7 linked regions of the Rattus norvegicus genome follow. The protein of the gene in region 1 interacts with the protein of each later gene in a biochemical or structural test. Links are inferred from orthologs where the notes say so. Each region holds a gene or a part of one and is shown in the gene's direction. Other genes may lie near its edges.

What was found.
Region 2: of the proteins of Ubc (region 1) and Zup1, one has a biochemical effect on the other in vitro, tested with the Homo sapiens proteins (4 studies listed by BioGRID, with this or other methods). The link is inferred for Rattus norvegicus from reciprocal best matches to the Homo sapiens genes UBC and ZUP1.
Region 3: of the proteins of Ubc (region 1) and Znrf1, one has a biochemical effect on the other in vitro, tested with the Homo sapiens proteins (2 studies listed by BioGRID). The link is inferred for Rattus norvegicus from reciprocal best matches to the Homo sapiens genes UBC and ZNRF1.
Region 4: the proteins of Ubc (region 1) and Morc3 form a complex in vitro, tested with the Homo sapiens proteins (2 studies listed by BioGRID). The link is inferred for Rattus norvegicus from reciprocal best matches to the Homo sapiens genes UBC and MORC3.
Region 5: of the proteins of Ubc (region 1) and Usp1, one has a biochemical effect on the other in vitro, tested with the Homo sapiens proteins (4 studies listed by BioGRID, with this or other methods). The link is inferred for Rattus norvegicus from reciprocal best matches to the Homo sapiens genes UBC and USP1.
Region 6: of the proteins of Ubc (region 1) and Vcpip1, one has a biochemical effect on the other in vitro, tested with the Homo sapiens proteins (3 studies listed by BioGRID, with this or other methods). The link is inferred for Rattus norvegicus from reciprocal best matches to the Homo sapiens genes UBC and VCPIP1.
Region 7: the proteins of Ubc (region 1) and Ptpn23 form a complex in vitro, tested with the Homo sapiens proteins (2 studies listed by BioGRID). The link is inferred for Rattus norvegicus from reciprocal best matches to the Homo sapiens genes UBC and PTPN23.

The regions. Positions count from the first base shown.
Region 1 is NC_086030.1:36,899,046-36,903,299, forward strand, and holds the start of Ubc (polyubiquitin-C), read left to right. Parts: upstream 1-1,454; 5' UTR 1,455-1,521; exon of another isoform or gene 1,522-2,084; intron 2,085-3,254; 5' UTR 3,255-3,257; coding exon 3,258-4,254.
Region 2 is NC_086038.1:31,348,024-31,351,523, reverse strand, and holds part of Zup1 (zinc finger-containing ubiquitin peptidase 1), read left to right. Parts: exon of another isoform or gene 1-1,918; coding exon 1,919-2,040; intron 2,041-3,500. UniProt on the Homo sapiens protein: Deubiquitinase with endodeubiquitinase activity that specifically interacts with and cleaves 'Lys-63'-linked long polyubiquitin chains. Shows only weak activity against 'Lys-11' and 'Lys-48'-linked chains.
Region 3 is NC_086037.1:56,404,228-56,408,527, forward strand, and holds the start of Znrf1 (E3 ubiquitin-protein ligase ZNRF1), read left to right. Parts: upstream 1-1,500; 5' UTR 1,501-2,136; coding exon 2,137-2,560; intron 2,561-4,125; exon of another isoform or gene 4,126-4,300. UniProt on the Homo sapiens protein: E3 ubiquitin-protein ligase that plays a role in different processes including cell differentiation, receptor recycling or regulation of inflammation. Mediates the ubiquitination of AKT1 and GLUL, thereby playing a role in neuron cells differentiation.
Region 4 is NC_086029.1:46,652,692-46,656,191, forward strand, and holds part of Morc3 (MORC family CW-type zinc finger protein 3), read left to right. Parts: intron 1-737; coding exon 738-792; intron 793-2,446; coding exon 2,447-2,610; intron 2,611-3,500.
Region 5 is NC_086023.1:118,706,056-118,709,555, forward strand, and holds part of Usp1 (ubiquitin carboxyl-terminal hydrolase 1), read left to right. Parts: intron 1-861; coding exon 862-982; intron 983-1,352; coding exon 1,353-1,457; intron 1,458-2,182; coding exon 2,183-2,343; intron 2,344-3,500. UniProt on the Homo sapiens protein: Negative regulator of DNA damage repair which specifically deubiquitinates monoubiquitinated FANCD2. Also involved in PCNA-mediated translesion synthesis (TLS) by deubiquitinating monoubiquitinated PCNA.
Region 6 is NC_086023.1:14,315,830-14,319,882, forward strand, and holds the start of Vcpip1 (deubiquitinating protein VCPIP1), read left to right. Parts: upstream 1-1,253; 5' UTR 1,254-1,370; coding exon 1,371-4,053. UniProt on the Homo sapiens protein: Deubiquitinating enzyme involved in DNA repair and reassembly of the Golgi apparatus and the endoplasmic reticulum following mitosis. Necessary for VCP-mediated reassembly of Golgi stacks after mitosis.
Region 7 is NC_086026.1:119,258,876-119,262,910, reverse strand, and holds the start of Ptpn23 (tyrosine-protein phosphatase non-receptor type 23), read left to right. Parts: upstream 1-1,235; 5' UTR 1,236-1,266; coding exon 1,267-1,350; intron 1,351-4,035. UniProt on the Homo sapiens protein: Plays a role in sorting of endocytic ubiquitinated cargos into multivesicular bodies (MVBs) via its interaction with the ESCRT-I complex (endosomal sorting complex required for transport I), and possibly also other ESCRT complexes.

The DNA.
Region 1 (4,254 bases):
CTATGTCATGAGTCCCAAGGTAGCCAGGGCTACTACATATGGAGACCCTGTCTCAAAAAAAAATCTCAAAAAAGAAAAAGGTTGAGATTAAAGGCATTTAATAGTGTGTGTGTCTGTGTGTGTGCATGCTACATGTATGTGAGTGCCCCTAGGGACATTGGACCTCCTTGAAGCCTTGAGAAGCTTTGGAGTCAAAGGCCTTTGTAAGCTAGCTGCCTGACAGGGTTGCTCAGTATTGAACTCTGGAAGAAGACCTGCTCTTACTGCTGAGCCATCTCTCTACCCTAGGGATTCAATTCTTACCTTCTAAGGTCTCAGGCCTTACATTTCAAAAACCTGAATAGGCTGAATTTTACAAGTGGGGTATATGTTTGCTGTAATCTGAACATTGTACTAAACGTGTACTTTTTGTGTGTGTGTGTGGGTTTTTGTTTGGTTTTGGTTTTTTTCAAGACGAGGTTTCACTGTGTAGCCCTGTAGACCAGCACTTAGAGGCAGAGGCAGAAGGATCTCTGTAAACTTGAGACCAGCCCGGTCTACGAAGCCTATTCCAGGACAGCCAGGGCTATACAGAGAAACCCTGTCTGAACAACAAAAATTAAAAAAATAGGATTTCGATGGGTTCAGTCTCAGAATATGAACAACATTTTGATATTTTGACCTTTCCTTAGTGACAATCGAACAGAAAACAGAACCTTCTCGAATCCAAGGACACCAGACATAAACAGACTTAGGAAGAATCTGGAAAGATCTAGTGCCCACTGGGCTTCAGATCTAATGCCAACAGTTTTCAAGAACTGTGAGGACTGACTGCTTTTCTTGACGAATTCAGATTCGTTTTCCCAAACTGGGGAGAGATCCCCCCCCCCCCCATTTTTTTTATAAAAAATAAAAAAAACCGTTGTCATTTCCCTTGTTATGAGATTTGCACAGTCATCCATCCTGTCACCGTGCCAAAACAAAGAGGGCTGGGCACAGTGACGACCGACTCGAGGTGAGGGAACTTAGGAGCCGAGGCCACCAATGGAATATCAGTGTAACAAGAGCCAAAGCCCTAGGTCCCCCTAACAGAAAGAGGCGACTGGGACCCTTGACGGAGGGGGTGGGGGGTAGTTGGTGGGTCTCCGGCTCGCTTAGCCACAGTGCGCCTGCGCCGAGGTCCGCTCCGGCTGCAGTGATCCCTGCCGGGTTTTAGCGCCGATCACGTCACAGGCGCTGATCCCTCCGCGGGGTCGCGCAAGGTCGCAGTCCTGCCCCTCCACACAAAGCCCCTCACTCTCTGGCCTTCGCAGTGGAACAACCCCATGAAGCGATCTTAATGGTTTTAGCCTGTCGCTTCCATTGCAGAGATTGGACCGGGCATTAAAAAGTAGTCCCCAACCGCATTTCCGCGGAGGAATCCAGGGGTGGGCGGGGCTCCCGATGACTATATAAAGAGACGCCTCGCGTCCCGCAGCTAGTTCCGTGGAGACCGCCAGTTCCGTCTCTACTCTTTTGTGAGGACTGCAGCCAACACCGCTGGTGAGGAGAAAGCCGCCACACCCGGCGGGGGCGGGGAGGCGGGAGGGGGCGAGAGACAGCCCGCGGCCCGGACGTTTGGTTTCCGTGGCCCGCGAGGACGGCTGCTGTCCTGAGGCCGAGGACCGGGCGGCAAGATGGCGGCCAAATGGAAGCCTGAGGGGGAAGACGCGCGGTCCTGACGCGCTGGACCAGGTTGGGGGAAGCAGGCCCGCGAGGCCGCTTGCCGCCGGTTAAGCCGGGAACGTCAGAGGCTTGGGTTGGGAACTGAATTCGGTTGGCGCGCTGTAGGAGCCTCTGATGTGAGAACTGTGGGTATTAGACGGGAGGGAGATGTCGGTTATCCGGAATTCGTCGGTTGCTAAATACAGGAGTGCGATTGGGAAGGGAGGGGGAGGGTGGCGGTCCAGCCTAGCCTATCGCCCCTGTGACGTCGCGGTTTGTGTGGTCTCACAGTGTATAGTGACGATGGCTTTAGCTTTCCCTCAGTTGTAGGACCGGGTTTGGGTCTCGGCCTCGGGTAGCCTCTCCAGAGTAAACAGGAACCGGAAATTCAGAGGGGGAACGTGAGCCTGACTTACATTGAGTCTTTCCTTGTCTCGCTACACGGATATGGCTGCGGAAACTATTTATTAGACAAGGGTGTTTTTTTTTTTAAGATTTATTTCTTCAGGGGTTGGGGATTTAGCTCAGTGGTAGAGCGCTTGCCTAGGAAGCGCAAGGCCCTGGGTTCGGTCCCCAGCTCCGGAAAAAAAGAACCAAAAAAAAAAAAGATTTATTTCTTCAGACACACCAGAAGAGGTGTGATCAGATCTCATTACAAATGGTTGTTAGCCACCATATGGTTGCCGGGAATTGAACTCGGGACCTCTGGAAGAGCAGTCAGTGCTATTAATCACTGAGTCATCTTACCAGCCTGACAAGGGTTTTAAACTTTAAAAAAATCTCTGCCTCTACCACCCATGTGATGAGGTCCAAGGCCAGTGCCACTTACCCCAGACTACTTTTTTTTTTAATAGAGTTTATTCAGGGCATGGGAAGGGGAGTTGAGGAGGGAGTAAAGCTGGTCGGAACATGTGGAGAGAGAGCAGGGAGGAGAATGGGGAGAGAAGGGACAGATGGGGTGAAAGTAAGAGGTTAAGAGGATAAGAGTAAGAGTAAACTACTGTTTAATTGTTCAGACAAAAGCTTGGGGGAAGGAGAGTTGAGGCAGGATCTCACTGTCTCAGGCTGACCTCCCAATTCACGAAATCTGCCCACCTCAGTGTCCCCAGTGCTGGGAGGAAAGATATGAACATAGTTCAGTTTTGTAGTAGTAACTGGCTCTATCTACCAGTCGGGACCTGAATCCGGGATTTCCAACTATTGCCTTCTAAGCTCTTGAGTTTCTGACTTCTTTGGAGTGGGTCCTCCTAAACCCCCCTCCCCCAAGGTGAAATGTGGGTCAGGCTTTTCTCCAAACTGCAAATAGTCAGGGACTGACTTTCAGCAGTTCCGTACTGAACGCTCCACCCTGCCAACTTGGTAATAGACAATGCCTAATATTCATAACTTTGTTCCATCAAGACTTTTATTTTCTTGTTGGTTTTAGGGGGTAAAATTCAAAACAGTCTGTGTAGCTATTTAGACTAAACTACTAGCCACCTCACAGATCCAACGGTTGGTGGCACTCTAAAGAATTTGTGTCATTCCTGACCTGTTTTTTGGTTTTTTGTTTTTTGTTTTTTTTTCCATAGACAATGCAGATCTTTGTGAAAACCTTAACTGGTAAGACCATCACCCTGGAGGTCGAGCCCAGTGACACCATTGAAAATGTCAAGGCAAAGATCCAGGACAAGGAGGGCATCCCCCCTGACCAGCAGAGGCTGATCTTTGCAGGCAAGCAGCTGGAAGATGGCCGCACCCTGTCAGACTACAACATCCAGAAGGAGTCCACCTTGCACCTGGTCCTTCGCCTCAGAGGGGGCATGCAGATCTTTGTGAAGACCCTGACAGGCAAGACCATCACCCTGGAGGTCGAGCCCAGTGACACCATTGAAAATGTCAAGGCAAAGATCCAGGACAAGGAGGGCATCCCCCCTGACCAGCAGAGGCTGATCTTTGCAGGCAAGCAGCTGGAAGATGGCCGCACCCTGTCAGACTACAACATCCAGAAGGAGTCCACCCTGCACCTGGTCCTTCGCCTCAGAGGGGGCATGCAGATCTTTGTGAAGACCCTGACAGGCAAGACCATCACCCTGGAGGTCGAGCCCAGTGACACCATTGAAAATGTCAAGGCAAAGATCCAGGACAAGGAGGGCATCCCCCCTGACCAGCAGAGGCTGATCTTTGCAGGCAAGCAGCTGGAAGATGGCCGCACCCTGTCAGATTACAACATCCAGAAGGAGTCCACCCTGCACCTGGTCCTTCGCCTCAGAGGGGGCATGCAGATCTTTGTGAAGACCCTGACAGGCAAGACCATCACCCTGGAGGTCGAGCCCAGTGACACCATTGAAAATGTCAAGGCAAAGATCCAGGACAAGGAGGGCATCCCCCCTGACCAGCAGAGGCTGATCTTTGCAGGCAAGCAGCTGGAAGATGGCCGCACCCTGTCAGACTACAACATCCAGAAGGAGTCCACCTTGCACCTGGTCCTTCGCCTCAGAGGGGGCATGCAGATCTTTGTGAAGACCCTGACAGGCAAGACCATCACCCTGGAGGTCGAGCCCAGTGACACCATTGAAAATGTCAAGGCAA
Region 2 (3,500 bases), on another chromosome or scaffold:
AGACAGCTCCTGGTAAAGTAGGAGATTTTAGCGTTCGATGATTTACCACCAATAACCGTGATCTCTATGCATCATGTACCTGCTTTGCTCATTACCACAAGAGGAAAATTAGTAGAATATTCTTTTTTTTCTTTTTCTTTTTTTTTCTTTTTTTCGGAGCTGGGGACCGAACCAAGGGCCTTGCACTCGCTAGGCAAGCGCTCTACCACTGAGCTAAATCCCCAACCCCAAATTAGTAGAATATTGATGGAAGATTATTTCACGTCAGTGGTCTTCTGCTGTCTACCCCAGTTGGCATGCCACTGTCGTTGTTTAGGGTTCCTGTTGCTGTAATAAAACACTACCAACAAGAGTAACCTGGGCAGGAAAGGGTTTATTTTATCCAAACATTTCCAGTTCACCACTGAGGGAATTCAGGGAAGGGACTCAAGGCAGGAACCTGTAGGCAGGAGCTGATGCAAAGGCCATGAAGTGCTGCTGAGTGGCTTGTTTTGCCCTGACTTGTTCAGACTCCTTTCTTAGAGCACCCAGGGATATCAGCCCAGGGGTGGCATCACCTACAAGGACTGGGCCTTCCAACACCAGTCACTACAGAACGCACTACAGACTTGCCTGCACTCGGTCTTTCTTTACTGTTGTATTGTTTTTTGAGATGGAGTCTCACTATGTAGCTCTGGCTAAGTGTAAACTCTAGCTTGTGTCAAGTTGACCTAAAACTAGCCAGCACAGCTATCTTCCTTTGAGTAAGATTGTAAGAGGATGCTGTGGAAGGGGTAATTTTTTCAAAGCAGAATGTCTGATAATTCTTACTTTAGGGATAGGCTTTGTATTGTATTCTATAAACCAATGAAACAGTCTCAGGGCATGCTAAAAATCAGTTGTGCAGTACATGCCCAAGAGTGGAAACTAGAACCAGTGGGAAGGTGTAAAATGGGTTAATCAACAGGTGTGTGCATTGTACTGTCTCTGAATTGAGGAGTACCTAGAAGACTCCTAACTGTTTCTTCTGGGTGTATCTCTGAGGATGTTTTCAGAATAACTGATGGGTGCGTTGGCAAACAGAATGAAGAAGATGTGCATTCAGCGTGGGCAAGTAGTGTCCAGTGTCGCTAGTACTATAGGTGGACCAGGAAAGCCGAAGCAGTGGCAGAATCACTTTGGCTCCTCCTTCTGGATGGGGCTTTCTTTCCCTGCAGCTGCTCCCTGGGTGCAGCTGCTCCCTGGGTTATACTCCAGGATGTCTGACTTTTGGATGCTGGAACTCTGATAATCCCTACCAGAAATTTTGAGCCTTTGACCTCACACTGGGATATCTGATTTTGCCAAACTGGTTCTGGCACTTTCAACTTTCACTACTGGTTTCTCTGTGTCTCAGGCTATCAAGAACTTTTCATTTGTATCATTATGTGATCTATTCCCGTATGATTCGTGATATTTAATAAGGTTTTCTATATCTTTCTGTCTGTCTGTCTCTGTGTGTGTGTGTACATACACACACACGCCTGTGTGTGGTGTTTTCTTATCTTGCCCTCAGTCCTGTTACTGGAGGACCCTGACCAGTAAAGAATTTAGGAAACAAGACTCAATACATTACAATACAATACAAGCCATTGACTAAAGAATCTGAGTTTCAGTGGGAGAGAGGAAGCATGGCATTATGCTATAAAATTATTCAGCTTGTTCGGGTAAAAACTGTAATGTAATGAAACAGTTGGAGGTTGTGAATATATATTTTATATTATTTATTACTTTTTTCTTTCCATTAGTTGTGTTCAGAGATATCAATGATAAGGGTCTTTCAACCGCTCACCCTTTGTTTTTCTCCCTAAAGGTGTTAGGATGTTCACAATTGCTAGTTAATGAGAAATGCTTGTTAGAGCCTAAGCACTGACTCATTCGGGTTGTCCCTCTCCAATAGGCATGGACAGAGTCCAGTGTTCTAGTGACAGAGAATTAGCTCACCAGCTTCAGCAAGAAGAAGAGAGAAAGAGGAAATCTGAAGAATCAAGACAAGAAAGGGAAGAGTTTCAGAAATTGCAGGTACAAAGATTAGTAACAGTTTTATTGAGTAGAGTTCTTATAAGTATCGTTGTCAGATGTCTAACAAGGTTTAGAAATAATGGCTCTGCCATTAAAAGCTAAGATTCACAGTCAAAAAGACTTGTACTAGTCTGTCCATGTTTTGTAAAAAATATTTTTGTGTACCTTATAGTGTATTGGGGGAAAAACATTTAAAAGTAGTTATTTTTTGAAGCTGGAGAGATGGCTCAGTGGTTAAGACTGCTGTGGCCTAGGACCTGAGCTCATTTTCTAGCCCCTACTTCAGGCATCTTTTAACTGCTTGGAATTTAGCTCCAGGCAGCCCCATTCTTACTTGTCACCTGTCGCGCCCACCTCGGCCAAGGCCAAGGACGGTCTGATTCTTCTCAATAGCCTTTATTGCAGGACCACCTCTTTGCTGATACAGGGACCTCGAGCGGCAAAAGCGCTCGCCTTATATACACAACAGGCTGGGGCTATGCTAATTGTCTTTCAGGGATTGGCGGAGCACGAATCACCCCACTATCACCCCTGCTACTTGTCCTCCAGGGATTGGCGGAGAATGAATCACCTCACTAGCATGGCACCGCCCCCTCATTAGCATATTACCGGCCAACTGACGCCAGGTGCAAAACCTGCGCATGCGCAGTACTGTTGTTCATCACTGGAGGGCGCCCTACAGTTACCCACACAGCCACATGCTCATGCATGTATGTACACACACACACACACACACACACACACACACACACACACACACACACACACACACACACCCTTGTGCACAGTAAAAATAAAAAAATAAAGCGGTGCCCCATGCCTTTAATCCTAGCACTAGAGAGACAGAGGAAGATGAATCTCTTGAGTTTGAGACGAACCTGGGGCACATTACAAAGAAACAAAAAAACCCTAAAACAGTGTTCAGACATTAGAATAATCATTTCAGATAAATTATGTAAAAGTCTTTATAGGAAATTCACAGGGTTTTGTTGTTTGTTTTTCCTTATTTTCTGTCTTTAAATGAAGAAGAAAAATGAAAGTGTTTCGTGATTTTTCCCTGGATTAGACAACTGTTAGGTAGAGAAGTGTGCCTGTCAGGCTATGCAATGGTGAAGCTGTGCAAATGTCGGCTGACATGAAGGTGGGGCGCTATACTGAGAAGCTGTTTCCTTAAAGGTCGTGTGTCTCTCTCTCCTTAGTCCTAAGTGCCTTTAAAGAACACAGTGAAGACATTTTGTATTTTAGTGGATGTTCAGAGTTTAGTAGTTTATGATTTTTGAGGGCGCATTTTCCTTATGTGAATGTAGTATCTATTGGACTAAAGTTGCAGCATGTGGGGGATTTTAATGCTTTAAAAATGTTAATGTTTCTCCCTTTCCATTTCTAATTTGTGAACTACAGTTATTTGTACTGACAATACTTGTAGAGTTCTTTTTTTTTTTTGGTTCTTTTTTTCGGAG
Region 3 (4,300 bases), on another chromosome or scaffold:
TGCTGAGCCATCCCTCCAGCCTCTGGAAGTTTCTTTAGTTTCTTCAGATCACTCAGTTCAGTTTTAGAAGTGCACAAATTCCTGATTGAGACACAGATAATATTCCGGATATTATCTGTGTGTTTGTTTTATATTTACATTTACAAGATTTTAAATTTACTAAGTTTTTATAGATGGATGCCTTGACTGTATGCATGTATGTATATCACGCATCTGGGATTATGGATGGTTGTGAATCATCACAGGAATGAATATGGGGCCTCTGCAAGAACAAGTGCTCTTAAGCCCTAAGCCAACTCTCCAGCCCCTAGATACAGACACACACACACACACACACACAGTTTTTCAAAACAGGATTTCTCTCTGTGGCCCTAGGTGTGCTGGAACTTGCTTTGTAGACCAGGCTGGCATGAAATTGAGAGATCTCCCTGCCTCTGCCTTTCAAACGGTGGTATTAAAGTGTGCACCACAGCCATGATATTTTTTGCATTAGTTTTTCTTATGAAACTAATTTTCTTTGTTCGGGACATCTTCCTGTGGCCTTCTAGGCAGGTCACGCTGGAAGAGACTGGTCTAGTAGCCCTTTTTATGTCTCTCCAACTCCATTTTTGGAAGTACCTGGCATACTTGACAGAGTGACAAGAGGAAGTTAGGCTAGTGACACGGTGCTCAGCGCTGAGTACTTGAAAAATTATTTGCTCAATAAATAAGCAAAATGAATATATGAGAAAGACTGGGGTTGACCTGGAAAGGTGAGTCTCTGTTGCAAAACGCAATTTGGTCAACAAATATTTGCGTACTGTGTCCTTGCCTTGTGGCTCTCCCTCAAAATACATGGTAAACAAAACAGCAACCGGCCTTGGGCAAGGAGTTTCTACACCCACTTCTTAGCTGCATGATTCTATTCTACTGTTTTGTTTTTTTATCTATTGATTTTGAGGATTATATTCTAGCCTAAGGAATCGATTTAGACCCGCTAATCCCAAATGTTAAGACTCCTGATGTTTGGATCCAAGCTACCCCCTACCCCTCATGCTAAACTTTCTAGTGTTGGCTGGGGTCCTTGGATGGAGATCCTTCAAAGGAATGGATCGCACATCCACCAGAGGGTGCTGTGAGGGCAGGTCTGTGGCTGGAGGGGAGCTCGCCCAATGACCCTCAAACCCAGGTAGGCTTATTAGTTGGTTTTCTTTCTTGGTGTTTCCTCCCTACCCGCTAAAACCGTCGATGCCCCTCCCCCCACGAAGGGTTTCGTTTTGAATATAGTGATTCGACTTTCGCCGCGACTCCAGCAGTGCTTGGTTCCAGAGGAAGTCTGGCCTCTGTCGCAGACGTCCCGCGGCTGGAGGCCGCCGGTCCTCCGACCGGCCCGGAGCGCAGGCGGTGGGTGGGTGGGGACCTCCGGGGCCGCAGCCAGCCGCCGCGCCGCAGGGGCCGCGAAGGGGTTAACCCGGCGGGGGGGGAGGGGGCGCGGGCCGCGCGTGCGCTCTGCCTCCCTCCATTGTCTCCACGGCGGCGAGGAGCGCCGGCGAGCGCAGCCCGGGACCGAGCGGGGCGGCGCGGCTGGCTGGCGGGGCCGGCGGCGGCTGGAGCCGGAGCGCGACACCACGCGACCGCGGCTTCCAGAGCTCCGCCTGGCTGCCCCACCGCCGCGAGCCCTCCCGAAGCCTGGAGGAGTGCGGGCCGCCGGCGCCGGTCGTCGAGTCCTGAGACGGGGAACGCGCGCGTCGTTCCGAGCCTTCGCCGCTTCCTGCTGCGGGCGGGCGAGCGGCCTCCTCCGGCGCCTCCCTATCTTCGCTGCGGCTCCTCAGGCTCCCGAGCCCGGGGGCGGCCTGTGGCGCGAGGCGCCCGCTCTGGACCGCGCGTCTTCGGACCTTAAGAAGAACATGCATTCGGCTTGGACAGTTTGAAATTCTTAGTTTGGGGTCCCCGCACGCTTGCCTTTTCCACCCCGCGGATTTTTTTTTTTTTTTTTTTGAGGATTTTCCCTTCTCCTTTTTTCATTTTCTCTCCTCGGGGCTCTTTTGTGACTCCCCCAACCCCCCGCCTTTATGTTCGCCCGGCTCTCCACCCGCTTCTGAGTGGTGGGGGAGGGTCTCGGCCTCCACGTTCCCGCCCCACCGGGCCCCGGCGAACATGGGGGGCAAGCAGAGCACGGCGGCCCGGTCTCGGGGCCCCTTCCCGGGGGTCTCTACCGATGACAGCGCCGTGCCGCCGCCGGGAGGGGCGCCCCACTTTGGGCACTACCGGACGGGCGGCGGGGCGATGGGGCTGCGCAGTCGCTCGGTCAGCTCGGTGGCAGGCATGGGCATGGACCCCAGCACGACCGGAGGGGTGCCCTTTAGCCTCTACACCCCCGCCTCCCGCGGGACCGGCGACTCAGAGAGGGCGCCGGGCGGCGGAGGGTCCACGTCGGACTCCACCTATGCCCACGGCAATGGTTACCAAGAGACCGGCGGCGGTCACCATAGAGACGGGATGCTGTACCTGGGCTCCCGAGCCTCGCTGGCGGATGCTCTACCTCTGCACATCGCACCCAGGTGGTTCAGCTCGCACAGTGGTGAGTCCTCGGGTTGACGGAGGCCTTGAAGGGTGGAGTGCAAGGGAGGGCGCGTCGGGCCGCCTGAAACCTCTTAGTATGCTAAGGTATGGGTATGAAGCTAACTCCTGCCCTACCCCTGGTTCCCTCCATGTCAGAGGATGAATAGGATCAAATAAGATAACTACTGCCTAGGGGAAAAGCTGCCTACCAGGCTTGTGGAGCCGGGTGTTTTAGGACTGCAGGCGTGTGCTCACTTGTGGATGGCTGAGTGAAACCTGCCCATCGAGGTCGCATTTATTAGCATCATGATCCTCAAAGGTCTTCTTGTCTGACACTCTTCATTTCTGCCACTGCAGCATGATGCCTACCTTTCTGGCTAGGGAGGTAGTGTCTCCTAAACAAAGAGTGAGAAAAGAAATAAAACTAGGGACAAACGATCCTTGGATTAGGGTTCTTAGCCTTGCTAGGGAAGGGAGATGGTTAGTTTTTCCACCCGACTGGTTTGCTGTATCAATTGATTTAAATGGAACAGGAGGTGGCTTAGACAGGTGTGGTCTGCTATGTGGAAAGCCTCCTTCTTTGGGTTTGCAGGGCCAGGATTCTGGTCTCTCTTGCTGCATGCAGTAGATTTGGCTCAGGGACTGTCACATCCCTCCATCTTTTTTCTCCTGCTAAGTGCTTGCTCTTCCCGTGATTCTGCATCTTTTTTTTTTTCCCCCATAGAGCACAGGAAAGGTGGGGTGTTATGGCCCAGCAGTTGGCACATGACTGGGGAAGAGGAAGATTGAAAGGATCTAGATGAACTCATTCTGTGCACTTCTGGTGACAGGCCAGGAAAAGGCTGGAGGGGGATTTCCCAGGCCCTGACTGGTAGGGCAAAAAAAAAAAAAAAAAAAAAAAAAAAAAAAGGCCTGGCAGAGACTTCTAGAGGAAAACAGGTCTGTCTGCTTGGCTGTCCTGAGAGGCCAGGGCAGGCGCTGAAAAATTGGTCAAAAGGGGTGTGAGGTTGCTTTTTGCTTTTTGTTAATTAATTACTAGTTCAAGTGAAACAGTTAAGTTTTCAGACTCCTTTGCCTGAGTTGGGACATTTTAGATACTGTGCAGGAGAAAGCTTTCTCCTGCCCTTAGGGTACATTATGGAAGGTTTACCTGTGAGACTAATGTTGTTGTAGCTAATTTCAAAACAAGGTAGATTTTTTTTTTGTTTGTCTTTTGGGTTTTTTTTTTAATCTTTCCTTCTTTCTTTTGGTGAATTCCATAATCTTAAATTTTTGAAGTAACTTTGGTGGGTTATACTGGCTAGTTTAGAGCCTCTCTGATGTTAATTAAACTGTGGGAGGTCAGATACAAGGCATGTCTGCCTTTGGTACCCTTTAGGCATTCGGTATGCGTTAGGCATGTTGGGATTAATCTTCTCTAAATAGTTGAGTCCAGAAGGCTCAGCTGTATTTGTGAGACTTTTGTGATTGCATTCGTAAGTGGACTATTATTGGTCTGCTTTTAAAACAATTTTGAGTGTAGCAAACTAACTTTATAAAGGCTTGTATGGGGGAGGGAGAAAAAGAGTTGTCTTTCTGGTAAGATTTCTTTTTTTTTTTTTTTTTTTTTTCTCGGAGCTGGGGACCGAACCCAGGGCCTTGCGCTCTGGTAAGATTTCTTAAGTCTGACTCTTAATAGAAACTTCTTCCTTGTTCTATCGTTAGGTTCCTTAGCGCCCCCCCCCCCCACACACACACTCTCATCCAGTCATGGGGGTAG
Region 4 (3,500 bases), on another chromosome or scaffold:
GTAGTTCTATGTTTTGTGTTTGTGTGTGTTACATGTATGTGTGTGTACGTGGAGTCCAGGGGTCACTGTCACTCTCTTCCTCATTTGGGCCCCCCCACCCCCAGAGTGTGTGTGTGTGTGGGGGGGAGGTGCAGATGATTTACTCTGTAGCCCCAGCTGGCCTAGAATTTGCTTTTTTGTAGACCAGGCTTCTCCTCAAATTCACAGAAATCCTCCTGCCTCTGCCTCCCAAGTACCGGGATTAAAGGTGAGGACCACTGCACCTGGCTTGCCCTGGTCTTATTTTTTGAGGCAGGGTTTCCACCTAACGAGTTTGAACTTTGCTGGCCAGCCATTGAATACCAGAGCTCCTCACGGTGCTGGGCTCACTTTGTTGTTGTGCCCAACTTTTCCTTAGATTCTAAGGCATCTGAACTTGGTCCTCACGTCTGCTCAGCAGGCACCTCGCTGACTTAGCTGTAACCCTGCCACTCGTGTTGCATTTACTTAAGTTTGGCTGCGGCTTTGGAAGTAATGAAAGTCTTCACTGCCCTTGGCTCAGGCAGTCTTCATGGGCTTTGGCTCAGGCAGGCATTGGGTCTTACGGAGATTGTAAGGTGGGGCTACTCCATAATCTAAATGCTCACAGTGACCATAATGGAACTGAAGCTACTTAATTGTAAACGTTTAAAAACAGGGTGTGACATGATAAAAGCAGGTATATCAGGGTGCTTCTTTTTGTCGTTCTTTTAAAGCAGCAAGGAGAAATTCAGGATCAGACAACCGGAAATGCTCCCTCGAATACTCCCTCGGGTAATGAATCTTCATTTTATATCTGTCTTAATTTTTAGAAGTACTTGATTTACCTGATACTGAATGGAAAGGAATTTACTTAACTTTGGTAATGCTCTTTTCCCTGAGTGTTCCTAGCCCGACAGCTTCGTAGGCTGTTGAGTTGACATTTGTCGGGGTATTGCTGAGGTAAGACAGCTCTTTAGGAATCTTATCAGAACTCACACTCACTGAAATGAAGACATTACATGTCTGTGGAGTGAACAACCATGAGTGGGACGTGTCTGTCACTCTTCCCCTGAGTGCAGGACTGACTGTTAGGACCAGAGGTCTAGGACAGTGGAGAGAACTACTCTCAGTCCTGTGGGTTACTTTCTTTAAGAGTATGGTCCTGGGGTTGGGGATTTAGCTCAGTGGTAGAGCGCTTTCCTAGAAAGCGCAAGGCCCTGGGTTCGGTCCCCAGCTCAGAAAAAAAAAAAAAAAAGAGTCAGCTAGGAGGCTGACTTTGCTCTCCCCATCTGTATACAGGTAGCTGGAATTTAAAAGACTCTTGTCATTAGAGAGCCGTGTGGGTTTTGCTTATTTGCTTAGCCCTAGGCTGTGGTAGGACTCTGGCGGAGTGTGACTATTTCTTGGGCAGGAAGTTTTGTTCTGCATGGGGATATATATATAGGCTTACTTAAAATTGCCTCACAGTGCTTTTTAGTGTAGTGTTACAGGTGAGAATAGGGTCTGTAGGAGAAAGTAATGGGATTACTTTTTGTTTTTGAAGGTGCTATGTATTATCTTCACTTTTATTCCAATTTCTCAGAAATTGTTTCTCTTCTGAGTTGTGTGTATTTTAGAGTCACAGTGTAGCAAGTCAGTTTCGCCTTTGTAGGCCACTCGTGGGCTGTCGAGTGTGTTTGTTGTATCCATCCTCTTAATGCGATATTGGAGGCAGGAGACAAGGCTCAGTTGGCAAAAGTGCATATGACTGACGCACACGTGAGGAGCCGAGACTGAGACCCTAGTGCCCCATGCTTACAGTTAACGTTTGCAATCCCAGTACTCGGAAGGCCGAGACAGACAGATATATTCCAGAAGTTGTAGCCGCTGTTCTATCCGAATGGGCAAGTGACCGGTTCAGCGAGACCCTATCTCAAAACGTGAGGTGGAGAGTGAATGGGGAAGGGAGGTAGGGTAGCATTGGCCTCTCTCTTCCGCAGCGTGAGTCCACACATGCAAACACAAAGTGGGTCGTGTGCCATGTGCAGTTGTTAAGCTGTGAAACTCTGCTGCCCTCAGGTGCAGGCTCCGTCAGCTTACTGCTCCATTCGACCACCTGAATTAACAAGAGAACCCACATACCTAGGTTAATTTTCAGTATTTTCTGGGCTAAAAGGAAAATAGATTGTATGTATCTTATGTTTGGCAAGTGTTACGTTAAGAATATTAGTTCCTGGGGGCTGGAGAGATGGCTCAGTGGTTAAGAGCTCCGACTGCTCTATCAGAGGTCCTGAGTTCAATTCCCAGCAACCACATGGTGGCTCACAACCATCTGTAATGGGATCCGATGCCTTCTTATGGTGTGTCTGAGGACAGCTAGTGTGTATTCAAATAAATAAAAATAATAAAAAAAAAATTTAAAAAAAAGAATATTAGTTCCTCTAAGATCCATTTTTTTCTCCAACAGATTAATCATGAGATAGTGTATCAGACAAGTGTTTCAAGTCCAAGCTTCTCCCCGGTGAAGGAAAGTGTTCCAAGACCACATATTTCTGAAGTCGCGAGTCCCTTTGCAGCAAGGATCATAAATAACCACCTTGTTTCAGCCCAGCCTGAGCCTGAGAGCAACAGGTCAGTGGTGCAAGGAACCTTTATGTAGAACACTCTCGGGCCTTCCTGGGACTCTTCTACAGCAGTTAGGGAATTCTAAGAAATTACAGTCACGCAACTGTGAAAGGGCTCCAGGATCCCCTCTACCTTCTTCAACCATGTATTTAAGTCAGCTAAAACCATGGACTGAGTGGGGAACGCTGGCACATAAGGTCACCTCAGCCTCTAGGACATGGAGGAGTCCAGAGTCCAAGTTCATGCTGGCCAGTGAGGGTCCACGGCCAGCCTACAAGACTCTGCTGTTGAGGAACAACAAGGTTCCCTGTGCACATGGTGTGCTTGTGTGCATGTGTGCGTGCATGCATGCGTCCGTGTCATGTATTATGTGGTTTGATCAAGTCACTACCTCTTGCTATGTTGATGACAGTATCTTACAAGCATCATGAACTTGTTCACATAGCCCAATCACGCTCTGGGCATGTAATATATTTGGATGAGTAGGTGGAGCGGGAATACAGAAAGACAGGCATGGTCCGTGGATTTGTTAGTTATCCCTAACTTAGTCAGGCTGTTTTGTGTGTAGTGTGCTAAGTGGTGGCCCACTCAGATGAAAAAAGCACACACTTGCGTGAAATCTAGGATTTAGGAGAGCCAGTCGTCACACTGCTGGACACTGGGAGGTGAAAGGACCAGGCTTTCTGAGCGGTTGTATAGCCTTCCCAGTCTCAGAGTAGAATTGAGGTAAGTTTGGTTAATAGGGTAGTGGCCTGGACTCAGGTCCCAGCACTGTATGAAACCATTTGTGAGGGTGAACTCAGCCGTTGGAGACGGAGGCAGGAGGGCCAGAGTTCAGATTTATTCTTGCCTACATAGCAAATTCAAGACCAGCCTGAGCAGAGTCCATGAGACCC
Region 5 (3,500 bases), on another chromosome or scaffold:
ACTCAGTGGTGGTGGCTCCTGCCTTTCATCCCAGCACCTGGGAGACAGGCCCCAGCCTGGTCTACAGATTGAGTTCCAGGAGAGCCAGAGCTACACAGAGAAATCTTATCTTGGAAAAAAAGAATAAACCAAAAACAAAGTGTATAGTAGGAACAGGGTAAACACTGCTTGATATTTTTGCAGTGTAGTGTGTGTAAAACTTCCTGTTACACCCCAGAACTACTTCTATCTGCTAGAGATAGGACATTTGCCAATTTATTTTGAAATTAGATTTTAAAGATGATTTTTTTTAAATGCATGTAAATGCTTTAGTCATTAAGAAGAAAGGGAAGGAGGGAAGGAATGCACATGAAGTACAAGTGCATCCGGTCACAGGAGAGGATACAGAGCTAATTGTTTTTCTAGTCTAATCCCACATACCCCCTTTTTATGGTGTTTAAGTGCACAAAAATGTATTGATAGTAGATGTATAAAGCTCTAAGCGGAACTCCATGGCTTCAGAATGGCTGTCCTATAGGACTGGACAAGGGCTTGTTTGAGTGGCTACTTTAATCTAGCTGCATGATGTTTTTACTTGTGAATTCATTACAACAAAATGGTTTTTACATTAAAAGAGAATAAAAGTGAATATTCCAAATTGCCCTAGCTGGAGTCTGTGGTAGCTCTTTGTTCAGCAAATGGACAGTCTATTGGGTAACTAAAAGTGGATGTTGTCCCATGTGTGTTCACCAATAATTGTTCAGGGTTGGGTATATAGCTCAGTGGTCATCTGCCTATTGTAGAAATGTTAAGTTTAGGGAAGCAGTATTTCCACTTTAAGGTGCTACATCTTCATACTTTTTCTTCCCTCTATATTCACAGTGATCAAGTTGTTCCTGCTGCACAGTCCTCACCAGTAAGCTGTGAGAAGAGAGAAAACTTGTTACCGTTTGTGGGACTGAATAACCTTGGCAACACTTGTTATCTGAATAGTATTCTTCAGGTATTATGATGTAATGTTTAATGTTTTTGAAAGTTCTAGATTATTAAATGACTTTGTCCATACTTTGTTATAAACTGTAAATCAACCAGAATAGACCATGATAATACTCAAAGATTACTGGTACTATGTCAACTTAAAAACTTTCATTATTTTGTTAGTTTTTGTCCTGTTAATCTTAATCTGACTAATAATGTATAGGTTCAGAGCTAAGTGCTGCTGAGCGATCAATGGGTTACTACTGGTGAGGTAGAGGGTTTGAAGAGGGTCTTAGTGTCAGTTTTAGGTAATAACATTAAATGTGCCCTACAGAAGGCATTAGTGATTTTAGGTGTGTTGTTTGCACAGTACTAAAACAACATCCTTTCTGTAGGTGTTGTACTTTTGTCCTGGCTTCAAGGCTGGAGTGAAGCACTTATTTAATATTATTTCAAGGAAGAAAGAAGCTCTGAAGGATGACTCTATTCAGAAGGATAAGGTAAAAAGATGATGATTTAAGAAACAAAATCAGCTAGAGAGAGGCCACAGTGAAGCACACATTTAATCCCAGCACTTGGGAGGCAGCTAAGCCTGGTTTGTCTCCATAGTGATTTCTTGGCTAGATAGGACCACACATTGAAACCCTGTCTCGACAACTCCCACACCCCCACACACATGCAACAACAAATTAATGGGAGGGATTATGTTTAACTGTTAAATAAAAAAGTGATAGAGACTCAGGATTGTTCAGGACAATGGTGACAGATTATTTCTGTTAAGTTTTTCAGAACTGTATATTGTCCAGATTATTCATAGCCTGGTATAGTGTTTCATGCATTGCTAATTAGACTTGTCACTTGCCCCTCATAATCACAAGTGTCTCACTTGAGTACCAGGTTATTATCCACTCTATGGTAATTGACATTAATGGTTTTTGGAGACTGAATTTATGGTCTTACATATGCAAGTGAAACTACCACTGAGTCATACCCCCAGCCTTAATTGCAAGTAAATAAGTTAAAAGAAAACTGATTAGAAAATCACTGTCTATGAAGAAAGCAACTAAGAAAAAAACTGAAGGGAAAAAGTTGACTTGCATGATTAATAGAATTTTTGCTGTACTGAAATTTAATTTAGAAAAGCTATATTGTTCAGTGAGACCAAGAAGGAAAGAAGCACTTATTTAATGTTTATAAATTAAATTGTGGTTTTTTTTCTTGATAGGGAAGCTGCAAAGAAGATCCTTTGGCAAGTTATGAGCTTATATGCAGTTTACAGTCCTTAATAATCTCAGTTGAACAGCTTCAAGCTAGTTTTCTCTTAAATCCAGAAAAATATACAGATGAACTTGCGACACAGCCAAGGCGACTGCTTAACACCCTGAGGTATAGGCTCTAACACAGCTTTGCGATCCGTTATCTGTTTGCTCCTGTCTTCAGAAGGGAGGGATGTATGAACAGACAGGAGTAAAGGAAAAGACAGCTGAAGTTCAGCCACAGCCTTTTACACCCCAGGCTTTCAGAACTGGTTATTAAAATTAAAAATTAAAATCTAAATTAATTAGATTCATATTTATATTAGCCTATTTATATTCTATACTCATAGTCTTCCTAAATTTTCTGTCAAAAGACTTATGTTTGATTAGAATACTGGCCTATATGTAGATGATATGTAGTTTTACTTATATTCTATACGGCACTCTTTAAAAAAGAAAATACAGGTACATGGGCTTCGCACCAAATCAGTCTCTGGCGGTAAATACATATTAATGTATTTACTCATTTTTATGATACTGAGGCTTGAACTCCCAGACTTGTTAATGCTAGGGCTCCAAGTGTTTTTCTGAATAAACATGAGTGTAAGACACAAAAGAAATCAAAAGTTAAATTAGTTAAAGCCTACCACTGAGATTCTTTTCAAGTTATATAGGCTGGGGAAAATAACAACAAACCAGGGCTCCACAGGACAACCTAAAGGAAGTGAGTGTGATCTTGAAGGGGACTTGGGGAAGTTTGAAATGGTTACCACTTCAGTACCCCATAGACCAGGAATCCCTAAACACACATAGTCCTAAGGAATTTCAGATCACAGCTTGTAGATCTGTGTACAAAATGTACCATGCATAAAGACTGCAGGTTCCAAATACTTGTATGTGCTTAAAAATACAAACACACACACAAACATGCACACACGCACACACACAGGAGCCCTTGTGAATGTGTGCATGCACACCCACATAAATAATATTGAATTTTTGTGAAGTCTTAAAAGAAAGTCTTTTAATTCAGTTTTTTAGTAGATGTAGACACATTTATTTACCTTTTATAAGAGACATTATAAAAAAGTGACCGAGAGCTGGTTTTCAGCCCTCATTTTGCATCTTAACTAGCTTTATGACCCTGTTAGCAAGTAATTTAACCTTGTGACATCTGTGAATAGTTTGTGGAAATAAACACTAACTGCTAGAGAAGAACACAGCAAGTTCTGGTGTGTAGTGAAACACTGCCAGCATTAGTTACAGTATGTAGAAGGGGTTACAAGA
Region 6 (4,053 bases), on another chromosome or scaffold:
TTGAAAAGCTCCTACATATTATGCAAACTGGGGTTATATCTCAGTTAGCTTGCCCATCATGCACGAAGCCCCATGTTCAGCCCTTAGCACTGCATTTCCTAGGCGTGGTGGTATGCACCTCTGACTTTGACATTTGGGAGGTGGAGGCAGAGGACAGAAAATTGAAGGTCATCCTCCACTATAGGGAGTTTGAGGTCTGCCTGGGCTCAATTGCTGATCCATTTACTGAATGATATAGAAACACAAATGTTTTCTGGACTCAAGAAGGTAATTTGTCTCAAGGTGTTTTGATGTTAAAACCTTAAAAATCTAACTTCTTAGGAACTGTTGTTCACTGTTCAAACACATGTTTAACGACAACAACAACAATATAATAAATTTAAATTTCTTGTGATCCAACCAAAACAGCCAGATTTTGCCACTGACCACCAGTTGTTGCTCACTTCTTGTTAACTTTCTCTCACATTAGAGCAGTGGAGTACATTTACGAATGTAAATGTGGATTAAATTACGAATAAGGTAGAAGCTCAGTTATAGCACTTGCTAGCTAAGTGGTAATACAAAAATGATACCGTATTTGAACAATAAATATACTAAAAAAAAAAAAAAAGCCTCATAGAAAACTCCCTCTCCCACTTTCTTAGGACCTTTAACCCGGACAAGCAGCGGTGGTGGACTTTAGACCCTCTTCCACGCCATTCCTTTTCACTTTTCTTTCCTCCAAGCACACTCCTTTCGGCGCAAGGGGAAAGTACGGCGGGACACTACCCATAGCATCCTAGGAAATGCGGTTTCTCTGACTCTTTCTCCTGGGCCATAGAATGGGGGACCGGGGAGGGGGGAGCAAACTACAAAAGGGATCCAGTTAAAAATACAACTACCGACAATCCCCGCGAGTCATCGACTTCCTTTCTGCCCCCACCTTCCGAGTGCCTTCCTCTTCCTCCTTCCCGCGTGCGTCGAGTTGCTTTGCATCACGGTATTTGAAGTTCTTTGTGGACAGAAGCGCCTAACACTCCTTCGCGAGAGGGGAGCCGGAAGACTCTCGTTCCCAGAGGGCAGTGCGGAAGCCACGCCTGCGCAGTCTCAGTGAGGGCGTGTATGTCTGTATCTGAGGGAGAGAGCGAGAGTGAGTGAGTGTGAGTGCGGGGTGGGGTGGTGGCCGTTACGTTCGGGGCAACGGCTAAGGCTGTGGAGAAGTGAGAAGAGAAACAACGTCCGGCGCTTCCGCCTTCGCCTAGGAGGAGGAGGAACTGGTAGGGAAAGGAAAGCCATTCGCTCTGGGCCTGGACTAGACCTCGTCGGGCCGGCGGAGGTCTGGCTATGTGCCTTTGAGGGTCGCTTGGGACGCAGAGCGAGAGCCGAGAGCGATGTCTCAGCCGCCGCCGCCTCCTCCGCTGCCGCCGCCGCCGCCTCCCCCCGAGGCTCCGCAGACTTCGTCGTCCCTGGCGGCGGCGGCTACTCCGGGGGGCCTTTCGAAACGAAGGGACCGGAGAATCCTTTCCGGGAGCTGCCCGGATCCCAAGTGCCAGGCGCGGCTCTTCTTCCCGGCCTCAGGTTCTGTCAGCATCGAGTGTACCGAGTGCGGACAGCGGCACGAGCAGCAACAGCTGCTGGGAGTGGAGGAGGTGACCGACCCGGACGTAGTGCTGCACAATCTGCTGCGGAACGCGCTACTCGGGGTGACGGGGGCTCCCAAGAAGAACACGGAACTGGTAAAGGTGATGGGCCTCTCCAACTACCACTGCAAATTATTGTCGCCCATATTGGCACGCTATGGAATGGACAAACAAACGGGCCGCGCCAAGCTTCTCCGGGACATGAACCAAGGCGAACTGTTCGATTGCGCGTTACTCGGTGACCGGGCCTTCCTCATCGAACCAGAGCACGTCAACACAGTGGGCTATGGCAAGGACCGATCTGGAAGCCTCCTATATTTGCATGACACTCTCGAGGATATCAAACGGGCCAATAAAAGTCAAGAATGCCTTATTCCAGTGCATGTGGATGGGGATGGACACTGCCTAGTGCATGCTGTGTCTAGGGCTCTAGTAGGCCGAGAGCTCTTCTGGCATGCCCTGAGGGAGAATCTGAAGCAGCACTTTCAGCAGCACCTAGCCCGATATCAAGCCCTGTTTCATGACTTTATTGATGCTGCAGAGTGGGAGGACATTATCAATGAATGTGACCCTCTGTTTGTGCCACCTGAAGGTGTCCCCTTAGGCCTGAGGAATATCCACATATTTGGCCTTGCCAATGTGTTACATCGTCCCATAATTCTCTTAGATTCCCTCAGTGGCATGAGAAGCTCTGGTGATTATTCAGCCACCTTTCTACCTGGGCTCATACCTGCAGAGAAGTGCACTGGGAGAGATGGTCATTTGAACAAGCCAATCTGTATTGCGTGGAGTAGCTCTGGTAGAAACCATTATATTCCCTTGGTAGGCATAAAGGGGGCTGCCTTGCCCAAACTACCCATGAATTTGCTACCTAAAGCATGGGGTGTGCCTCAGGACCTTATTAAAAAGTACATCAAGCTTGAGGAGGATGGTGGTTGTGTTATTGGAGGAGACAGAAGTTTGCAGGATAAGTACTTACTTAGGTTGGTTGCTGCTATGGAGGAAGTCTTTATGGACAAACATGGTATCCATCCTAGTTTGGTTGCTGATGTACATCAGTATTTCTACAGAAGGACTGGGGTGATAGGAGTTCAGCCTGAGGAAGTTACAGCAGCTGCTAAAAAAGCAGTAATGGATAATCGCCTTCACAAGTGTTTGCTTTGTGGTGCCCTTTCTGAACTTCATGTCCCTCCTGAGTGGTTGGCTCCAGGAGGAAAACTGTATAACCTGGCAAAAAGTACTCATGGACAGCTGAGGCCTGACAAAAATTACAGCTTTCCTTTAAACAATTTGGTTTGTTCATATGATCCAGTGAAAGATGTTCTGTTACCAGACTATGGATTGAGTAATCTAACAGCTTGTAATTGGTGCCATGGCACATCTGTGCGAAGAGTCAGAGGCGATGGCTCTATTGTATATTTGGATGGAGACAGAACTAATTCTAGGTCTACTGGTGGCAAATGTGGTTGTGGATTCAAACACTTTTGGGAAGGTAAAGAATATGACAACCTTCCAGAAGCTTTTCCTATCACTTTGGAGTGGGGAGGAAGAGTAGTCAGAGAAACAGTATATTGGTTCCAGTATGAAAGTGATCCATCTTTGAATAGTAATGTTTATGATGTTGCAATGAAACTTGTTACCAAGCACTTTCCAGGTGAATTTGGGAGTGAGATCCTAGTTCAGAAAGTTGTCCACACTATATTGCATCAGACTGCAAAAAAAAATCCTGACGATTACACTCCTGTAAATATAGATGGTGCTCATGCTCAGAGAATTGGAGATGTGCAAGGACAAGAATTGGAGTCTCAGCTACCAACTAAAATTATTCTTACTGGACAGAAAACAAAAACTTTGCACAAGGAAGAATTAAACATGAGTAAAACTGAAAGAACTATTCAACAGAACATCACAGAACAAGCTTCTGTGATGCAGAAACGGAAAACAGAGAAATTAAAACAAGAGCAAAAGGGGCAACCCAGAACTGTTTCTCCAAGTACTATTCGTGATGGGCCTTCATCTGCACCTGCCACCCCCACGAAGGCTCCCTACTCACCTACCACTTCTAAGGAGAAGAAGATTCGCATAACAACTAATGATGGACGGCAGTCCATGGTTACCCTTAAGTCTTCAACAACCTTTTTTGAACTTCAGGAAAGTATAGCCAGAGAGTTCAACATTCCTCCATATTTACAGTGTATTCGATATGGTTTTCCTCCTAAAGAGTTAATGCCACCCCAAGCAGGAATGGAAAAGGAGCCAGTTCCTTTGCAGCATGGTGACAGAATTACCATAGAGATCTTAAAAGGCAAAGCAGAAGGTGGTCCATCCACTGCTGCACACTCAGCCCACACTGTGAGACAAGAAGAGATTGCTGTTACTGGCAAGCTGTCCTCCAAGGAACTTCAGGAGCAAGCTGACAAAGAAATGTATTCCT
Region 7 (4,035 bases), on another chromosome or scaffold:
ATCTCATTCCCTAACACATACCCACCACAACTTAGGATACTTTCGTTTTCAAAATAGTTCTCAGATGTTGCTCAAAGTGAGCTATCTACCCACTTTAAAAAAAAGGGGGGGGGGGTTGGGGATTTAGCTCAGTGGTAGAGCGCTTGCCTAGCAAGTGCAAGGCCCTGGGTTCGGTCCCCAGCTCCGAAAAAAAGAAAAATAAAACAACAATAACAACAAAGAACCCTTTCATGCAAAGCCACAATCACCGGTCTCCTAAAAGACTACAAAAGGCCACATACTACTTTCTCCCGTCTTTAAAATTTGTTTGAAATAACGTATTGTTACGTAGCCCAGTTCAGCCTTGAAATGACCTAAGTCTCTTCCCTCAGTCTCTAGGGTGTTGGGATCATAGGAGCCACATAGCACGAACGACTCCATTATTTATGTCTAAAATTTAGCAACATACACATAGCTTTAAAATTCCTGTTTTACAGATGTCTGCAGAGACGAATACTTGTCACTGTATAGTTCCTTCCAGAGTCACAGCCTTCTTAGGTGTTACCTTAGCTGCTAAATGTACCCTACTAAAAATCACGAACTCAGGCCGCAGAAGGTGGTGGTGTGGAGCAGTGTCCCTGCCCCCTCACCGCTGACAGATGAATCTTTGACACTTTTTTTTTTTTTCGGAGCTGGGGATCGAACCCAGGGCCTTGCGCTTCCTAGGCAAGCGCTCTATCACTGAGCTAAATCCCCAACCCGAATCTTTGACACTCTTAGCCTGGGTTCTACCCCACCATACAGTTTGCATGGCTCAAGGCTGTCTTCACGTCCCCTCTCCCCAGCATCACACTCGCCATTCGCTAATGCAGCACCTGTCACCGTCCTTCGCCGCTCTGAAAATCTGGAATTACAAATTCATGGGTAAGTTTCTGAAGGACCCTTCCAAGAGGAAGAACAGCTTTACGCAAAACAGAAAATGCCAGCGAAGCCTAGAGCTTAGTGGAGGAGATCACTATTCCCAGAAGCCCCTTCACCGTGGATTGGCTCTTCCCTTCACCCAAGACCCTTCGCGCGAGAAGACTGAGCATGCGCAAAGAGGACAGCGCATGTGCAAAGGACTACCGGGGGGGGGCTGGACTGCACCTCCCAGCAGGCCTTGTGGAGGCTGCGTCATTCCGCGTGACGAGCAGCTTCCGGCGTGGAGGGGCGGGGTTGCGCGCGCGGCTGAGGCCGCTGCTGGACCTGGGAGGGGAGCGGCCCTGGGGCGGCTAAGCGCTGTCCGCAATGGAGGCCGTGCCCCGGATGCCCATGATCTGGCTGGACCTGAAGGAGGCCGGTGACTTTCACTTCCAGTCTGCTGTGAAGAAGGTGAGCACACCTTCGATGCGCATCTCCGTCGTCTGCCCGCGCGTGACGCCCCCTGCGCGCCTGTCCCTCCCCGGGTTCCGTCACAGGTCGGGCCAGGCGTTTTCCCTTAGGATGGCCCTCCCCTCCCGTGCCGGCACATCATCCTTATCTCCGACTGGCACTGCATCCTTGCGGGAACCCTTTTCCCGACTTCTGCATTTCTACCGAGGTTCCTTGCTGTGACACTCCTGGACCCAGCTCTGCCCTGTCCCTCCACGTTCTGGGAGCCCCCGTGGGGAGCGATGGCGGTCCAGGTTGTGCAGAGTCCATGCTAGGCCCAAGCCTGGGTGGGCTCCCAGTTCACGACCGGACTAGGAAAGAATGTGTGTTTAAGACCGGAGCCCCGGTGGCCCAATAGGCATATCCTGCTCCAAGAGTGTGTAATTGAGTGTGTGCCTGTGTGCAGTTAGTCTGTGTAACCCTCCAATTCTGTATGGGCTCCTTACAAAATTTCTATTCCAAAGTTCCTTTGGACCAAAAAACACAATTTCTTGTTGATAAGAGGGCTTGAGTCAGGCTAGGGCTCTAGTGGCATCCTATGAGTCATTGTACTGGGTAGAGCAGTCGTTTGGAGTTCACTGAGGGTTTCTGTGGTGAGGTCAGGTGTGGTGATGTGGAAACTGGGTAACCTCCGAGAGAGCTACTGCCTTAGAAAGAGCCCCAAATAGCATTGAGGGTCGTAGCAGAAGTGGACAACTGGGAAGCTGTGAGGAGTCTTGGGGATTTAGCACAGCACCCATTGGAGTAGACAATCTCGAATCCTTTACCACTCCGTGGTGTTTAGGGGAAGAAGGAGAAAGAAAGAAAGAAAATGGGTTTGGAAGTAATTTCCGATGGAGTTGCCTCCCATATTCTCTTCATTATCATCACTTCCACAGTTCAGGCCCTAATTGGTTGCATGCTTGAGAATGGGGTGAGGTTCGTTCAGGTGCTGGGTGTGTATGTGTGGTGGTGGTTCAAGTGATGGGTATCAGAGCCAGAGACTGGCACAAGTGCTCTTCCACATAGATACACGCCCCCCAGCCTAGACTTCTTCCTCTCCCCTACGACCAGCATCATAGTAAGCCAATTGATCTATATTTACAGAATTTTGTTACCCATCTTCTGTTTAATGAAATCGTAGTGAGGTGAATTCTTCTAAAATGTATTAAAGCTGAGGTAGATACTCAGTATCATACCCGAACCCTGGTTATTCAGAGTCTTACAGAGTAAAGCCAGTATTTTTAGTTTCCCATTCGGTATTCTCTCTGACATAGCCTGATTCTTTAATCTTTTGTCTCAGTCTTGTTGTATGTTATATGTTTTATCTGTGCTTGTGATACAGGTATTCCACGTTCTGTTAATAATTATTACTTCCTGTTTGCTTTAGGTTTTTTTCTCCTTGTTGTGTCTTTGATTGTGGAAATCATTTTACCTCAGTGGTTGCTATTTCATAACTGTTAATTTTGCTACTGTTAGGAATCATAGTGTAAATATCTGATATGCCACCCCCAAAGGGGTTGAGGTCTACAAATTGAAAACTGCTATTCTACCTAAAAGAGCTCTCAGTTTTGCCCCATGGACTGGTGATGGGGTCGTCGTCTTTAATCTCTGTGAATTCGTTCCATTCAACTTTCAAGGTCTGGTTGAAGCTCTGACTTCCAAAAAGCCTTTCTTAATCTGGATTAGCTTTGTCCTTTTCTGGATTTCCTTCCCCTCTCCCTTTCTTTCTTTCTTTTTTTTTTTTTAAAGATTGATTTATTTTATGTATATGACAAGTACACAGTCGCTGTCTTCAGACACACCAGAAGAGGGCATCAGATCTCATTACAGATGTGGTTGCTGGGAATTGAACTCAGGACCTCTGGAAGAGCAGCCAGTGCTCTGAGCCATCTCTCCAGCCCCCCTCTCCCTTTCTTTAACAACAGTTCTATGTATGTGCTATTTTTAGAGTGTGTGTGTGTGTGTGTGTGTGTGTGTGTGTGTGAGAGAGATGATGATGTGTGGGTTCCAGCATGACAGAATATTTGTGTGGAGGCCAGAGAACAACTTGCAGGAATTAGTGTCTCCTTCTACTAGGCAGGTCCAGGGAATGAAACTCAGGTGGTTAGAGCAGGCAGCAAGTGCCTTCCTCCCCTGACCCTGCTGCTCCGGCCATATGTATACTAGGTTTTCTTTGTTTTTTCAAGGCACTGTCTCACTGTGTAGCTTCAGCTAAGCTGGAACTTACTATGTAGGCTACGAAGGCCTCAAACTCACAAGCCTGCCTTGGCCTCCTAAGTGTTGGTATTAAAGGTGTGCTCCACTACCCCCTGCTCCTATATGCGCTGTGTTTTAACCCCATATTCAGTTGGAGTACCAGAGGGCCCTCTCCATGTTCCTTTAGCCTAATACCCACTACCTAGGAAAATGTTTCTCAAATGACTGACAGGCTAGAGCAGCGGTTCTCAAACTTCCTAATGCTGCCCCCTTAATATAGTTCCTCATGTTGTGGTGACCCCCAGCCATAAAAATTTGTTACTACTTCATAGCTGTAATTTTGCTGCTGTTATGAATCATAAAGTAAATCTCTGATATGCAGATGGTCTTAGGCAGTCCCCATGAAAGAGTCATTCAAATCTCCCAAGGGGTCGTGAACCGCTGGTCTAGAGGGAATTTAAATTAGAT